4 linked regions of the Macaca mulatta genome follow. The protein of the gene in region 2 interacts with the protein of the main gene of each other region in a biochemical or structural test. Links are inferred from orthologs where the notes say so. Each region holds a gene or a part of one and is shown on either strand. Other genes may lie near its edges.

Region 1 (4,113 bases), on a different chromosome or scaffold from region 2:
ATACTAAATGTAAGAGAAGATATAGAATAACAGAATTTCTCATTCCTTGCTAGTTGTGATAAAAAAATAGTACAGGCATACTTTTAAGTCAGTATTTTATGAAGCTAATCATATGACAAATTAGAAAAGTTAAAATTATAGGAACTGAAAACAGAAGAGAGTTGCTAGGAGCTTTGTAGAGTGCAGTGATTGACATCAACCGGGATGCACAGGAGAATTTTAGGCAGGTGGAACCGGTCAGTATGATACTTGATTTGCAGATATGGGACTCCATGCATTTTCCAAAATACATATAACTTCACATTCTAGTTAAATCTGATGTGTGTATTTAAAACTTTAATCACGTATTGTTTTTTTAAAGGGTCACGGGTTGCTGAAAAGACAGTGATTTTTGTTCAGGGACTAGAATAGGAAAAGAAGCAACAATAAGGAAGCCTTGTAACACACAGGCTATGGGAGAGATGATATTAACTTCACTCACAGCAGTAAAGTAGAAAAACTTGGAATGGAATTTAGAAGTTGAAGGAACAAATGTTGCTGTCTGGACAGGAGAAGGAAGGAGTATAGGCTCTTTTAGAAGTAATACCTTGAGAAAGCCATAGGGGCCTTCCCACCCCATTTCAGAGGGCAGTGGAGGCCTGCCTTAGGGCCAGGAGGCCCTATCCCACTGTGGGTGGATGTGATTCTACTTCTCTTCCACCTTGCAGGTCTCAGGGATGGGAGGGGCTTATTCGCAGGTGAAAGACTCAGATGCACAGAGACAGGGAGTCCAGGCCATTTCAGGAGTCCAGGCACAGCCTCTCAGGAGGGCAAGAAGGGAACACCCATGACCGGTAGTGCCCTCTGTCCTGTCCCTGTGCCTGCTGCCAACTCTGGAGGACCCCATCAGGGTCCCCAGATGTACAATTTTCTTACTTCTATTTTGGGAGTCAGCAGAAGGGGAGGCTGTCTCTGAGGAGGGCAGCTTCAGTTAAGCAGAGAGAGAAGTCCCAGAACTGGCCAGAAAACAAGAAGAGATGTGGAAGGACGGTGACCTCCCAACACGGAGGGGAGGTGCAGGCTGCACCAAGTCGCTCCCTGCTGACACCCCTGGAAAAAGGAGGGTGGGATGTCAAGGACTGGGGAGGTGGGAGTGAAAAGGTCCACAAGGTTTAGGGAGTGAGCAGGAAGGGTTGGAGGGCAGCTGGGATGTGGGAAGGAAGGGATGGAAAAGAAGCGGAGAGGTGGGGAGTGGTTCCTCCCCAGAGAGGAGGCCCCGCCCCACGTTGACGCTGCCGTCAGCCCTGGACCACTACGGCCGGGTTCCCGGATGTGCTTTCCAGACGGCCATCTTGGGAATCCAAAGGATCGGAGGCATTTTGCAAGGAGATTCGAATCAAGTCAGCGGCGGGGAGTCTTAGACCTGGCCAGTCCACAAGGTGAGGGCCCTGAGGAAGAACTGAGGGACCTCCCACCATAGAGAGATGAAATCCCGGCCTGCACTGCCGCTGCAGTGGGACTGGTAGGTCCCAGACAGGAAAATGCCCACAGAAGAAGGGAGGAGGTGCCAGCCCTCTAGGGAATAAATAGGAAGACATTGAGGAGGACTGGGGGAACCCCCATCTCAGAGGACAGATTCCCACAGATTCCCACCCTGCTCCTCGAGAATCAGCCCTCGTAGAACTCCCCTGCCAGCTCAGGCTGAGTGGCAGCCATCTCATTTCTGGGTGAGGGATGGAGGGGAGGCAGAGGCCTTGTTCTGGGGGTCCCGTGGCAAGTCAGCACGGGGAGCTGCCTCTGGTTGGCAGAGGGAAGATTCCCAGGCCCTGCTGGCGATAAGACAGAAGACAGGAGTCACATGTGCATCAGAACGGACGTGAGGCCACCCAGACCACCTCCATGGTAGAGTCCTGGGAGGTGGCTGCCACTGCACTACCTCCCACTGCTCTCAGGGATGTGGAGGTTGCTAGGAGGTTTTGCCTTAGGCCAGCAGAGTGGTGGGGGCTTGACCCTCTCTGAGAAGCCGTGAGGTTTCCAATTAAATTCTGAGGGGGCCATGCAGTCCAGAACTATGGGGCTCTGGGATTCTGGCCAGCCCCAGCTGTCAGCCCTGGGAGGCCCAAGACTCTACTTGTAGTCTTTAACCTGAGGGGCTCCGTCACTTCCTCTTGCAGGTGCTCCAGGAACCAGGTGGTGACAAACTGGGTGTGAGGCACACATCCTAAAGTCAGCACAGCAGAGGAGACCCAGGCAGTGCCAGGAGTCAAGGTGAGTGCACACCCTGACTGTGTACCAAGGGCCCTACCCCCAGAAACAGAGGAGACCCCACAGCACCCGGCGGTACCCACCTACTGTTATTCCTGGGGTCTCAGGCTCTGCCTGCCAGCTGTGCCCTGAGGTGTGTTCCCACATCCTCCTACAGGTTGCCAGCAGACAAACTCCCTAGGAAGACAGGAGACCTGTGAGGCCCTAGAGCACCACCTTAAGAGAAGAAGAGCTCTAAGTTGGCCTTTGTCAGAGCCATCATGGGTGAGTTTCTCAGCTGAGGCCATTCACACTGTCACTCTCTTCCACAGGCCTGTTGGATCTCATCATCCATATCCCTGTTGATACCTTTACCTGCTGCGCCTGAAGAAGTCGTTATGCCTCCCATTCCGGGCGTTCCATTCCACAACGTTGACGACGACTCTCCGGCCTCAGTTGAGTCAGAGGACTGGGTAGATGCACAGGATCCCACAGATGAGGAAGAGGAGGAAGCCTCCTCCATTTCCTCTTCCACTTTCTACTTAGTATTTTCCCCCTCTTCCTTCTCCTCATCCTCTTCTCTGATTCTTGGTGGTCCTGAGGAGGAGGTGCCGTCTGATGTGATACCAAGTCTTCCCGAGAGCACTCCCAGTAGTCCTCCACAGAGTCCTCCACAGGGTCCTTCCCAGAGTCCTCTGAGCTCCTGTTGCTCCTCTTTTTCATGGAGCTCATTCAGTGAAGAGTCCAGCAGCCAAAAAGAGGAGGATACAAGTACCTGTCAGGGCCTGCCAGACAGTGAGTCCTCTTTCACACATACACTAGATGAAAAGGTGGCCGAGTTAGTGGCGTTCCTGCTCCTCAGGTACAAAGCAGAGGAGCCTGTAACAGAGGCAGAGATGCTGATGATTGTCATCAAGTACAAAGACTACTTTCCTGTGATACTCAAGAGAGCCCGTGAGTTCATGGAGCTCCTTTTTGGCCTTGCTCTGATAGAAGTGGGCCCTGACCACTTTTCTGTGTTTGCAAACACAGTAGACCTCACTGATGAGGGTAGTGATGACGAGGGCATGCCGGAGAACAGCCTCCTGATTATTATTCTGAGTGTGATCTTCATAAAGGGCAGCTTTGCCTCTGAGGAGGTCATCTGGGAAGTGCTGAATGCAATAGGGGTGTATGCTGGGAGGGAGCACTTCATCTATGGGGAGCCCAGGGAGCTCCTCACTAAAGTTTGGGTGCAGGGGCAATACCTGGAGTGTCGGGAGGTGCCAAACAGTTCTCCTCCATATTATGAATTCCTGTGGGGTCCGAGAGCCCATTCAGAAAGCATCAAGAGTAAAGTACTCGAGTTTTTAGCCAAGCTGAACAACACTGTCCCTAGTTCCTTTCCATCCTGGTACAAGGATGCTTTGAAAGATGTGGAAGAGAGAGCCCAGGCCATGACTGATACCACAGATGATGCCACTGTCATGGCCACTGAAAGCCTCAGTGTCATGTCCAGCAACCTCCCCTTTTCTGAGTGAAGTCTAGAATAGTTTCTGCGCTCTGTGTTTGAACAAGGCAGTTTAGGTTCTAGGTAGTGGAGGGCCAGGTGGGGCTCGAGGAACATAATGTTCTTTGCATTTCTGTCCCATATGGGCGATGTGGAGATTTACCTGTTTTTCAGTACTTTTTGAATGCTTTTCCTTTGAATAGCAGGTAGTTAGCTTCAGAGCATTAATTTATGAATATTGGTCACACATGTATTGCTGTTTATCTGGTTTAAGAGTAACAGTTTGATATTTTGTTTAAAAAAAATGGAAATACCTTCTCCCTTATTTTGTGATCAGTAACAGGGTAGTGTGGTATTGTAATAGGCTTTTTGTTTGTTTGTTTGTTTGTTTTTTACAATAC
Region 2 (4,030 bases):
ATTTCCTGCCCATTCTGTGACACTGGGCCATTTATTGGGAAGATGTAGAGGGTGTGGCCAGCGAAGAACACAGGCCTGCAAGCCCAATTCCTTGCTCCCAGAAACCTCTGCCCCAACATAGCTGAGAAACACAACCCTTTCTTCTAGCTTCTAGAGGTGACACAAAGGTAAAGGTAAGGACAGCCTCCGGAAAAAGAGGACTACCCCCCCACACACACTGTTCCCTTTATTCTCCAAGTGGACATATTCAGAATTCTGCCTACAAACCACCCTGGACTCCTTTTCTTCTCCTTTCATGGTTAACTTCCTCCCTCTTTCGTGACAAGAAAACACCAGGGTCTCTTACAACCCAAGAGCCCAGAGAAAACCTGTAGAGGTTCTCATACTGGGAGAGATAAAATGTCAAACTAGGACCCTCAGAATGGTGGTCACACCCCCTCTAGACCAGGAGCTTGGTGCTCAGCATAATTCCACCCCAAGACCAACACATTAATAACCTTCAAAGCCTGCTTCCCCATTAGAAAACCGATTAAGCATAGTGGTCCAACATACCAACCAAATCCAAAATACGTAGCATCAGGGCTCACTGGGGAAACTGACTTCCCCAGTGCCACCATTCCTGCACCCTGACCTTTGCTTGGGACGTCTGGAATGTAGGACACCCTGCAGCCCCTGCCTATCCCTCCTGGCTCCTCAGGCCCCACAGCCGCCACTTTCCCACTATCTTCCACCAATGCTGGCCTCTGGGATGGGAAGAATCACGGTATGGCTACCAAAAGGCCACTCATGGGAGGATTTTGGCCCAAAAACTGGGCTACACTCAAAAGACTCTCAAGCTCCTTTCCAAATCAAAGCTAGCGAGTGTCTGCGAAAAGCTGGAAATGCCAAACCAAACTCCGGGTAAGTCTCTGCCAACTCAAAAGCTAAAACGTTTCCAGAAATCACCATCACTTATAACCCATGGACCCACAAAGTCTCATTTTCCCTAACAGCATCTTATACCAGATGTGTGCCAGGGAACCACAAACCCAGTAAGCCCTTCACACCATGCCTTTCCCTGTTTGCATATTCTGAGCCCTTCAACACCAGGACTGAGAACTCCCTGATAAGCTTCCTCAAACCCTCTGTACCTCCCTGCAGCACATTAAGGTCTCCACGTCTCCCCTTCCCACCCCCTCCCACCTAAGCCCTAGAGACTACACACCACAACCACAATTTTCCTGCTTTTGGAGTTCTGCTCTCCAGCCCTTCGGGCGGCACCCCCTGGACAACTCTAGGACCCATCCACCAAATGCAACCAACATTATAAAAGCAACTGAGGGCACACACGGGAAAGCAACAGCCCCCTCAGCCTCACGTACCAGTAGAGCGCACAGTGTGATCCTTGGTGTACTTCACCCGCTGGTGCGCCTCTACACAGGTCTCACACAGAGGCTCCGAGCACTCCACACAGTAGCTGGTAGCTGGGGCATTATCCTCACAGCTAGTGCAGCACTGCCAGACAAAGGCAGGGTCAGAGAAAGCAAGACAACTTGCTAGATCCACATCTACACCTCAGAAAATACAACCCAAGATTAAGATTGGTCCCTTGACCCAGCCTAGACAGCCCACCCAGAGCCTTGGGAAAGTCGAGTAACAGCCTGGGAGCTGGTGTCAAGCTCCTCCTGGGCAGATGCCCCCTCCCCAGAAACCTCCCTGTGGTTGCTGCGGTTGGACGCACCTGGTTAGCATCCTGGGCGTCGGTGGCAGCCTTGCTGCCACTATCACGCATGAAATAATTCTCCACGATGTCTTTGGAGAAGCACTGTTGCTTGCACACGGGACAGTCCACCACTTCAAGAGGCAGGGATGTGGGAGACTGTTACAAGTTCCCACCCAAGTTATGGCCCCCCGCATCCCCGTGCTGGGTGGGCCCCCGACCATTACCCCGCAGCGAGGCAGCCCCTCCCCTCCCCTCCCTGAGCCCTTTCTCCAACTTTAGTCAGATGTCTCATCTCAGCGGCCAGCTCAAACCCACGTTCCTATGCAGGACCCAGAAAGTACTCCCCGTGCACTGTCCGGGCCCCCATCCTCTTGCCCAGGTGGCATCCTCATCTCTGCACCCAGTGGGAATCAAAGGCAGAGAGTAGGGGGAGGGGTGGCCCCGATCACTTCGTACTTACCGGCGCCGTCGCCCGCAGCCCCGCCGTCCCCGGAGCTGTTGGCGGCGGCGGGCGCCGCGGGCCCTAGGCAGGCACTACAGGCCGAGTGCAAACAGGGCAGCAGGCGGGGCTCCCTCTCGGGTCGCAGGCGCTCTCTGCACACGCCGCAGTGCTCCAGCAGCTCCAGCGCCTCGGCGCCGCCCCCCGCGGGCGACGACACCGAGGCCGAGGCCGAGGCCGAGGCCGCGGTCGAAGAAGCGGTGGAGCGCTTTTCGCCGCCAGCGGAGCTCTCGCCCGGGCCCGGGCTGCCAGAGGCGGCCGAGGCCGCTGCTGCCGAGGCTGCCGCCGCCGAGGCCGCCATTCACACGCCGCCGGGGGCGCCCAGGGGGGAGGAGGGGCGCGGGGCCCGCCGCGCAGGCGCAGACGCGCTCGCCGCCAACTGCTGGGCCGCCGCCGCCGCCGCCGCGAGGCCGAGCACCGCCACGCGCCTCCTGGGCCGCTGCCCGCCGCGCGCGGGACGCTGCTGCGGCACCGCCAACTGCTGCCTGCTCGCCTCCCGAAGGCGCCGCCCGCGCTTCTTCCTCAGCCGCCGCCGAAACCCTCACCACGCGCCACAAGCACAAGCACAACCGCTCGCCCGCGCGCCCGCTCGCAGAAAGAGCCGAGGCCGGGGGGCGGGACAGAAATAACTGGCGCCGACGCCGCCGCGCACGCGCATTGGGCGCCGCACGCCCGGGGGCGGGGCCCAGGCCGGTCGGGGCGGGAGAGGCTGCCAGTACGCACGCGCCCACTCCGGGTCCTTCCACCACGGCCAACCCCACGTCGGTGGGGTCTTGTGGGGGCGGGGCGGTCCCTCTGTGACGTCACTGCCGCAATTTAATCCGCCAGTGGGGTGTGCGCACCTTTATAGAGTGTGATTCCCCTCTCAGCTCCACCTCCAGACCACACCGAAGCGGGCCGCTGTGCGCCCAAGCGCATGGGCAGTCCGTAACTCTTCCTCAACCCGCGTCTTTTCGCTCGCGTAGAGTCGTCTCCAGCCTTTGCGTCACTAAGCGTTCGGGATAGGGGGCAGGGCCAATGGAGAAGTAGGCGGGGCCAAGACGGAGTAAAGGGCTGTGCCCCGGGAGAGGGGAGGACAGGCTCCATCCCAGGAGGGAGGAAGCGCCTGTGTGAGAGCAGGGGCTGACTTTTGAATTTTAACCACGTTATAGTTAAACTTGAGAAACACAGAAAGTTGCCTAAATCAAATGTAGATCACAGACGGGCGCCGTGGCTCATACCTGTAATCCCACCATTTTCTTAGGCGAATCGGGAGGCTCCGTTTAGCCCAGGAGGCCGGGGCAGCAGTGAGCCGGGATTGTGCCACTGCACGCCAGCCTAGACAACAGATCGAAAAAAATGTGGCCGGGCGCGGCGGCTCACGCCTTTAATCCCAGCACTTTGGGAGGTCGAGGCGGGTCGATCACCTGAGGTCGGGAGTTCGAGACCAGCCTGGGCAACGTGGTGAAACCCCGTCTCTACTAAAAATACAAAAATTAGCCGGGCGTGGTGGCGGGCGCCTGTACTCCCAGCTACTCGGGAGGCTGAGGCAGGAGAATCGCTTGAACCCGGAAGGCGAAGGTTGTAGTGAGCCGAGATCATGCCATTGCACTACAGCCTGGGAGAAAAGAGCGAAACTCCATCTCAAAAGAAGAAATCTTTTTGTGTTTGTTTTGAGACGGAGTTTTGCTCTGTTGCCCAGGCTGGAGTGCAGTGGCGCGATCTCGGCTCACTGCAACCTCTGCCTCCCGGGTTCAAGCAATTATCCTGCCTCAGCCTCCTGAGTAGCTGGGATTACAGACATCCGCCTCCACACGCCCGACTATTTTTTGTATTTTTAGTAGAGACTG
Region 3 (4,210 bases), on a different chromosome or scaffold from region 2:
TAATACGCATATCTTCTGTAGCCAAAATTAGCATGCTTCATCCAGGCCCTACTATCAAAATCTCACTATCTGAGGTCCCACTATCTAAGGTTACTTAGGAAGTGGGACACTTCAAAACACATCTTACATTTCTAAGTCTCTCTAGGAGTGTGACAGGTACTGACCATTTTTTAAGCTATCAGACATGAGAAGCCCTTTTTTTTTTCTTTTCTGAGACTTACTTTTTTGAGACAGAGTCTCACTCTGTCGCAAGGTTGGAGTAGAGTGGCACAATCTCGGCTCACTGCAACCTCCGCCTCCCGGGTTCAAGCAATTCTCCTGCCTCAGCCTCCCAAGTAGATGGGATTACAGGCACCCGCCACCATGCCTGGCTAATTTTTGTATTTTTAGTAGAGACGGGGTTTCACCTTGTTGACCAGGCTGGGCTCCATCTCCTGACCTCAGGTGATCCACCTGCCTCGGCCTCCCAAAGTGCTGGGATTACAGGTGTGAGCACCCAGTCGACAGCCCTCTTTTTAAAATATATCCCTGGTCCTCAAAGGCAGTTAAAGCTGTGAGCCACCTATAATAGCTGTAAATTAAAGCTTGAATAAGATTTCACCTGGGTGTGTTTCTAAAGTAAGAATCCTTAGGAATGTATTATTAAGAGGGGCCAGAGGCAACAGCAATGGAGTCATCGCCTTCCTTAACATGTCTGCTTAATATTCAAAAATAAATGTGATCATACAACTCCTTTACATGAATGATCTCCGCCAATCCATACTGTGGGACCAACGCCAGACAGCCTCCCAGTAAGAAGAGGAATCTAGATTGCAGGATGGGGGGCGGAGAAGAGATTTTAAAAATGGAGACATGCATTCCAAACCAAAGTAGTGGGATTATATTTGTTCAGGTCAGCTCTGAGCATCATGTGTCTTTTGTTTTGAGATGAAGTCTCACTCTTGTCGTCCAGGCTGGTGTGCAATAGTGCGATCTTGGCTCACTGCAACCTCTGCCTCCAGGGTTCAAGCAATTCTCCTTCCTCAGCCTCCCGAGTAGCTGGGATTATAGGCGCACACCACCACACCCAGCTAATTTTTGTATTTTTAATAGAGACGGGGTTTCACCATGTTGGTCAGGCTGGTCTTGAACTCCTGACCTCAGGCAATCCACCCGCCTTGGCCTCCCAAAGTGCTGGGATTACAGACGTGAGCCACCGCGCCCGGTCCATCATGTGTCATTTTTATAGCGTACGTAAGTGCAGGAAATGTTAGGAAGGTGTATGGACAATCTGAAAACCCAGTTACCCTTTAGTTAAAAGTGTGGATCAGTTAGCTAGAAAACACCTGTGCACGACTGGGCACGGTGCCTCATGCCTGTAATCCCAGCACTTTGGGAGGCCGAGGCAGGCGGATCACCTGAGGTCGGGAGTTCGAGACCAGCCTGACCAACATGGAGAAACCCCGTCTCTACTAAAAAAAATTACAAAATTAGCTGGGCGTGGTGGCACATGCCTGTAATCCCAGCTACTTGGGAGACTGAGGCAGGAGAATCGCTTGAACCCGGGAGGCAGTGGTTCCGGTGAGCCAAGATCGCACCATTGCACTCCAGCCTGGGCAACAAGAGCAAAATTCCGTCTCAAAAAAAAAAAAAAAAGAAAGAAAGAAAGAAAAGAAAAGAAAAGAAAGAAAGGAAAGAAAAAGAAAATACCTGTGCACACCAACACAAACGAAAGGATGTTGTGTGACTTACAAAAACCTCACAAGAAGGGGTCCTTTGAGTCTCCCCTCGCCTTGACCCCTTGCTACTCACAATGAGATCAGCAGACACACAGTATCTGACCGGCAGCATCCACCACAGGAGGACTTCTCAGAAATGCCGAATCTCAGGACCCGTCCCAGAGCGACGGAAAGAGGGCACACGTCTTACCAAGATCCCCAATGATTCCGGTGCCCAGTGACGTTCGAGATGCACCCCACAGAGCATTCGAAACCATTCTACAAACAACTTTTGAGCTTTCCACTAATTGGGTGGGGGCTGCACACACCGTCATTGCAAATGGATAAGGGTTTTGAAGCCCTGGGTGTTTCCTCTTTCTGGCACAGCATGGCAACGGTCCCAGCAAGGGGCAGCCCACGGGAGCTCCTTTGCACACCAGGCTGCTGCTCCTAAAGGCTCTGGACACACAGGAGACCTCCAGCCTGCTTGGGAGGGGGACACTCGCTCCTAACAAGCCTCGTTTCGGGTCAGAGATACTGGACTAGAAACCTGACTTGGGCGCCTCATCACAGAAAGAGAGAAAGAAGAGATGGGGACGGAAGGCACCTGAGCCAGCACTTCCTGTCTGAGGCCAGGGCGGGTATGACGGGCAGGCCAGGTGCCGGCTGAGAGGGGCACGAGGATGGAATCCGGCGTGCACCTGCGAGACGGACCCCCAGGTGGCCCCTCCAAGGTCAAGGGAGGGGGTGAGAACTTGAGTGAGGCTGAGCCAGCTTCCGCAGAGAGGGGCCACCAGACGCAGAGCGAGAGAGGCGCCCGGACATCAGACGGACAGACAGAGGCTGACGCAGGAGGACCAGAGGGCCCAGCGCCGGACAGGCTCCCCGGGCGGACGGACAGACAGACAGACAGACAGACGGGCCCCGCCCGAGGCGACTCACAGGTGCGCGATGCCGGCCTTGCGCACCGCGGAGGAGATGGCTTTGACGGCCGTGCAGAGCGAGTTGAGCAGCTGGGTCAGCTCACCCGTGCCGCGGGCCTTCCTGCCCTCCTCCATGACGAAGCGGGTCAGGGTGTTGACGTCCGTGTCGAAGGGCGCCTGGTCAGCCATGCTGGGGCCGGGCCGCGGGGCGGCAGGTGCGGCGGCAGGTGCGGGGGCAGGTGCGGGGCGGCAGGTGCGGGGGCAGGTGCGGGGGCAGGTGCGGGGGCAGGTGCGGGGGCAGGTGCGGCGGCAGGTGCGGGGGCAGGTGCGGGGGCAGGTGCGGCGGCAGGTGCGGGGGCAGGTGCGGGGGCAGGTGCGGGGGCAGGTGCGGGGCGGCAGGTGCGGCGGCAGGTGCGGGGCGGCAGGTGCGGGGCGGCAGGTGCGGGGGCAGGTGCGGCGGCAGGTGCGGGGGCAGGTGCGGGGGCAGGTGCGGCGGCAGGTGCGGGGGCAGGTGTGGGGGCAGGTGCGGGGGCAGGTGCGGGGCGGGACCTGGCGGGAGGACGGACAGACCGACTGCGGCCCCGAGTGTCCGCGGCGCTCGCGGTGAGACTGGGCCAGGCCCGGCGCGGGCGGGTGAACCGGGAACCTTTAGCCGCGGGTCGGCCCCGCCCCCACCCCCGGGAACACCCCGCGCCGCCTCCCGCCGCCCAGCCCGCGGCTCCGCCCGCCGGATCTTCGGACCCTCCCCGCGCCGCCCCCGCAGCCTCCGCGCCCTCCATCTGCGCTGCGGGGCGGGGCTCGGGCCGTCGGACCCGCCGGAGAGAAAAGCTGTTTCTTTGCCGGAGTTTCCTCCACAATCATGACGCGGAAGTTCACAGAGGTTGAGTAACTTGCTCAGCGCCCCAGTTGGGCAGCGAAACCCCCAGCAGCCCCCGCTCCGCAGACCCGCCCGCGCGGCCTCCTGCCCGGCCCCTGCCCAGGCCTGTCCACCTGCCCGTCCTGTCACTGCCCCCCTGTCCACCTGCCCGTCCTGTCACTGCCCCCCTGTCCACCTGCCCGTCCTGTCACTGGCCCCCTGTCCACCTGCCCGTCCTGTCACTGCCCCCCTGTCCACCTGCCTGTGCTGTCACTGCCCCCCCATCCACCTGCCCGTCCTGTCACTGCCCCCCTGTCCACCTGCCCGTCCTGTCACTGGCCCCCGTCCACCTGCCCGTCCTGTCACTGCCCTCCTGTCCACCTGCCCGTCCTGTCACTGCCCCCCTGTCCACCTGCCTGTGCTGTCACTGGCCCCCTGTCCACCTGCCTGTGCTGTCACTGGCCCCCCTGTCCACCTGCCCGTCCTGTCACTGGCCCCCCTGTCCACCTGCCCGTCCTGTCACTGGCCCCCCTGTCCACCTGCCCGTCCTGTCACTGCCCCCCCGTCCACCTGCCCGTCCTGTCACTGCCCCCCTGTCCACCTGCCTGTGCTGTCACTGGCCCCCTGTCCACCTGCCTGTGCTGTCACTGGCCCCCCTGTCCACCTGCCCGTCCTGTCACTGGCCCCCCTGTCCACCTGCCTGTGCTGCCCCCCTGTCCACCTGCCCGTGCTGC
Region 4 (4,050 bases), on a different chromosome or scaffold from region 2:
TGAAATGATGGACTCTCTTCTCCAGAAACACTAGTCTGCCACCAGCCCCTGTTCCCAGTAATTCTGCATATTGTCTCAGGGAGCTCAGGGACCCCAGTGAAGAGCCTCTGTGTTAACGTTAGTGCCTCCTCTTGTCTCTACCCTGGCCTTCCTAGGCCTGAGTCCCAGGCACACACCTGTGTGAATGGCCCAGCTCCGGAACAAACAGGCATCCTTGTTGATGTCCCAGCCATGCTTGGCAGCATGCTTCCATGGGATCTGGAAGATCATCTCCTCCTGAACAACACACACATATACACGAGGCTGTGTCAGCTCAGAGGCCACAGACTTTGGGGCTGAGTCTGAGACCCAGGCTTGCCCAGCCAGACAGGTCTGAGAAAAGGCTGACTTCCCCTTTTCCCCCTGCCATCTGGCTTGGACTGACCCATCTTTAGGCTGGCTTAAACAGACCACTCGGGATCTCTCAGGAGGGACTCCTAGTTCGGATGAGCTGCAGCACTATTAGCTCACAAAGACCTCCCTCTGCCTGTTACACATGTGCTAGGACCCACACAGGGCACCCTCCCCCAAAGCCCTGATTTTGAAGCTCTGGGATGTTTCTCTCTGGCTTGTAAACACCAACATGGAAGTAAGAACTTCTTCCATTAGAAAGGACTCCTCAGGACACCTGGGACCATGGGCTTCTACACAAGAGGTCCTGGTCATACGACTGAGGGAGCTAGACTTGGATGGTGAACACTGTGTAACCCTGGCATTGTCACTGTATCTCTTTTCCCCTCAGTTTTCTCTTCTCTGAAATGAGAAAACATATCCAACAAAATTTTGAGAATTAAAAACCAGAGAATGTGTAGGGACACAGTGACAAATATGAAGTCTAAGGTCTTACTGTTATTATCACTGATGGTTAACAGTAAAGATTTCTGAGTCAGACCATTCAAGTTCAAATCTTGGCTTCATCACTTTTTGTGTGATCTTACAATCTTCCTCTCAGTGCCTCTGTTTACTTATCTGAAAATGATGACATGAACAGGACCTACCCCACAGGACTACTGCGAGGATTAAATGACACAATGTAAATAACATACGTAGCAGGTGCCAGGCACACAGAGAGTGTTCAGTAAGCATTAGCTATTATTATGAATACTATCATTGCTACTAAGCCTATAGTGTCTATGTTGCCCCAAGTGCACCAGCTATAGGCTTCTTGGGCCACAGTGACTGGTGCAAGATTGATTCGTTTGTCCTCTGCTAAGCCAGCCACCTTTCTGCCCAGCAGCATCCACTTCTCAAGTCTTCTATTTGTTTGATTAGAGCCCTGCAAGGTGCTGTGTATGTTTGTAAGGGTCTCCCTCAGAGGAGACCAGAACTCCAGCTCTGCAGATGCTGGGAAAGTCTTGCTGCTGGAAACTGGAAGTGCCTTCAGGTGGGTGCCCTACCTCAAGAAGGGAAGAAAGCAGGAGTCGTGCAAGTGAGGCCCAGGCTGGGCCTTGCACACTCCCTCCCTGCATGCAGGACCCATTGGGAGAAACATCTGCCTGTCCTGTTATCACTTCCCTTTTTGAGCTGCATCTGAAGCTTTGGTCCCTCCAGAAGTACATGGGTTAAAACAGTGGCAGGAAAACCCAAAGAGTTACACTCACTTTATTAATCCAGATGAGCCCCGGGATTTGGTTGGAATTAATCTGCATCTCTAGCCAGGGTCTCATGCGCATCCGAGTGATGGGCATGTTGGCTGTAAAGAGAAGACAGAGGCTCCAGTCTGGAATCTGTTGAACAGTACCTGGGCACTGACCTGCCCCACCCGAGTTCACTTAGTTACCCTCCCCTCAGCCAGCTACTAGGTACTACACTCAGTGGGGAGGGGAGCTGCCCTGGAATAAAACTGCTCTCCAAGTTTTTTCAGCATCTTAGGCAAAAATGCTTCTGCCCCTTCCTCCATCCCAGCCAGTCTCTGGATGAGACAGGCATGCAAGTGATGGCTTTAGGATTCATGTGCAGGAAAAGAGAGAAAATGCACAGATATCCTAATTTCAGAACTTTTCGCTCAAAATTCAAATCCTTTGGGAAGGGAGGGACTTCTTTTGCTTGATGCCAAGAAGAAATTCCCTTGACTTGAGTTGTCACCACTAGCTAGTAAAGGGCTAGCCATCACCCTGAACAGCCCCCCTGAATCCATTCTACGCCCTCCTGACAGTCACAGAGCCCACTACGCTAAGACTAGGACGCTAACCCTTCCGGCCCGGTTTCCCCTCCTCTGGAGAAGCGGCCCAAGGAACACCTGTGGCGCCTCTTCCCGCAGTCTCCGTAGGTCACGATTCCCTCCAGCCACCTGGGCAGTAAGCCAGCCCTTGTCACCAGCACAGGGAGCCCAAAACCTGGGGCCTGGGCGCGAAGCTGGGACCGCCGAAAGCCGGGAGCACTGGGCGCCCACGCGTGGGCGGACACTCGGTCCCCGGCACGGCGTGTGGATGCGCGGGACGAACGTAGCGGGCCACCTACAGGCCCCCAGCGGCTGCGCGCACGCATATCTGCGAAAGCTGCCCGGCGCCGGCAGCCTCGTCCGGGTGGGCGGTCCACGCCGCGGCCCGCCCTCCCCGCGCCGCGGCTCGCAGCTCCTCCGGCGCCCCCCGGAGCCCGCGCGGGGGCCCGGGCAACGCCGCGCTCCCGCGAGTCTCCAACCTGGGGTTTTCGAACCCCCACTTCCTGGTGCCCCGCGCGCCTTTTATTCGACGCCGCCGGTCCCCCGCGCCGCAAAAGCGGACTCACCTTTGCTGCAGGAGCGATTCGGCGGCGGCGCGCGAAGGTCCCGGCGGCGGCGCGCGAAGGTCCCGGCGACGCAGGGGCTGCCGTGAGGGGGCGCGGAGCGCGACTCCGGGTGGAAGGGGGAAGAAGGCAGAGGCTGTCTGGGTCTCAAGGCCGCTGGGCACGGCTGGCGTGGGCTGGGCAAGGCTCCGGGTGGCCTCGGTTCGGCGGGGCTCGGGCGCACGTCCTGCCTCGACGAAGGAGTGGCGAGCTCTGCCAGGGCAGCGGCGCCACCGAGCAATCCAAACACTTAGCGGGATTCCCCAGCCCTGGCCGGCCCCGCCTCCGGACAGCCGCGCGGGCGCCCATTGGCCGACTGCGTGCCGTCATTTCGGGGAAATCAGGCTGTTGTAGAGCTAGCGGCGAAGGGGAAGTACAGGGCGGCTGCTCCGCCCCACCCTCTCCGGCCGGGCGCCACCGCCCCGGGGCCACCACGGGCCCGCCCCGCGCGCTCCCCATCCACCCCTGCTCCGGCTCGCCCGGAGGAGGGCTGCCCTGGACAGCCCGGCACCCCCGGCCCCAGCCTCTCCTCTCACTCCGCCTTCTCCCAGCCGGCTGGCTCCTGGGGCCATCTTTTCACCCTCCTGGCGGGTTGGGGGCGGGGGTCTATCTCCTGAACGCAGGTGAGGGGATCGCCCGGGCACTTGCCGCCCTCTCCAGGGGGAACACCGGCCGAATCTCCCGACTGGCAACCTGGCTCCTCAAGCTTGCCAGTGGGGTATCAAGAAGGGAGAGTTTCAGTCCTAGCACTACCCCTGTTTTTAGGGGTGACCCCCTTTCTCCAGGTCACTCACCTGCCCTGGGGAAGTGAAGGAAGCAGAAAGCCTACCCTGCACCGTGTGCTGTCTGGGGCTGCTGAACCAGGGGAAATCTCAACTTGGCCGCTGCTGGCACAGCCCCCAAGGGACTCAGGACCTCCGTTTTTCAACCATAAAATAACAGTAGCCCTACCTTGATGGTTTGCTGTGATTGTAAAGCACTATGCTCCACTCGGGCAACAGACGCTGAGTAGTTTTCAAGGTCGCCGTTCCAGGGTCTAATAGTGACCAGGATGACACCCCACCCCTTTTTGGTCTGCCTCCCTGGGACTCCCCCTGGCTGGCCTTAGGGAACAGAGGAGGAGAAGGGGTTCAGAGAAGCCCAGATGGCTGAGTGAGGGTGGGGGTGGGGTAGTTCTGATCCCTCCTAATACACAGGCCGCCTCCAGAGCCTCCCTGTGGCCCGCGTATGGGAGTTCCTCAATGGAAG

Evidence for each region. The genes of interacting proteins can lie anywhere in the genome.
Region 1: the proteins of TRIM28 (region 2) and MAGEC2 form a complex in vitro, tested with the Homo sapiens proteins (3 studies listed by BioGRID and IntAct). The link is inferred for Macaca mulatta from reciprocal best matches to the Homo sapiens genes TRIM28 and MAGEC2.
Region 3: the proteins of TRIM28 (region 2) and FBP1 form a complex in vitro, tested with the Homo sapiens proteins (2 studies listed by BioGRID). The link is inferred for Macaca mulatta from reciprocal best matches to the Homo sapiens genes TRIM28 and FBP1.
Region 4: the proteins of TRIM28 (region 2) and IRF1 form a complex in vitro, tested with the Homo sapiens proteins (2 studies listed by BioGRID). The link is inferred for Macaca mulatta from reciprocal best matches to the Homo sapiens genes TRIM28 and IRF1.

What each region holds. Positions count from the first base shown.
Region 1 is NC_133426.1:148,497,601-148,501,713, reverse strand, and holds the start of MAGEC2 (melanoma-associated antigen C2), read left to right. Parts: upstream 1-1,304; 5' UTR 1,305-1,418; exon of another isoform or gene 1,419-1,501; intron 1,502-2,153; 5' UTR 2,154-2,247; intron 2,248-2,555; 5' UTR 2,556-2,621; coding exon 2,622-3,743; 3' UTR 3,744-4,113. UniProt on the Homo sapiens protein: Proposed to enhance ubiquitin ligase activity of RING-type zinc finger-containing E3 ubiquitin-protein ligases.
Region 2 is NC_133424.1:70,682,140-70,686,169, reverse strand, and holds the start of TRIM28 (transcription intermediary factor 1-beta), read right to left. Parts: upstream 2,801-4,030; 5' UTR 2,503-2,800; coding exon 2,163-2,502; intron 1,834-2,162; coding exon 1,721-1,833; intron 1,495-1,720; coding exon 1,362-1,494; intron 1-1,361. UniProt on the Homo sapiens protein: Nuclear corepressor for KRAB domain-containing zinc finger proteins (KRAB-ZFPs).
Region 3 is NC_133420.1:128,832,767-128,836,976, reverse strand, and holds the start of FBP1 (fructose-1,6-bisphosphatase 1), read right to left. Parts: upstream 2,810-4,210; coding exon 2,640-2,809; intron 1-2,639. Other genes in the region: uncharacterized protein LOC144334803, read left to right, coding at 2,808-3,005, 3,072-3,227. UniProt on the Homo sapiens protein: Catalyzes the hydrolysis of fructose 1,6-bisphosphate to fructose 6-phosphate in the presence of divalent cations, acting as a rate-limiting enzyme in gluconeogenesis. Plays a role in regulating glucose sensing and insulin secretion of pancreatic beta-cells.
Region 4 is NC_133411.1:141,396,329-141,400,378, forward strand, and holds the start of IRF1 (interferon regulatory factor 1), read right to left. Parts: upstream 2,810-4,050; 5' UTR 2,767-2,809; intron 1,733-2,766; 5' UTR 1,728-1,732; coding exon 1,641-1,727; intron 277-1,640; coding exon 177-276; intron 1-176. UniProt on the Homo sapiens protein: Transcriptional regulator which displays a remarkable functional diversity in the regulation of cellular responses.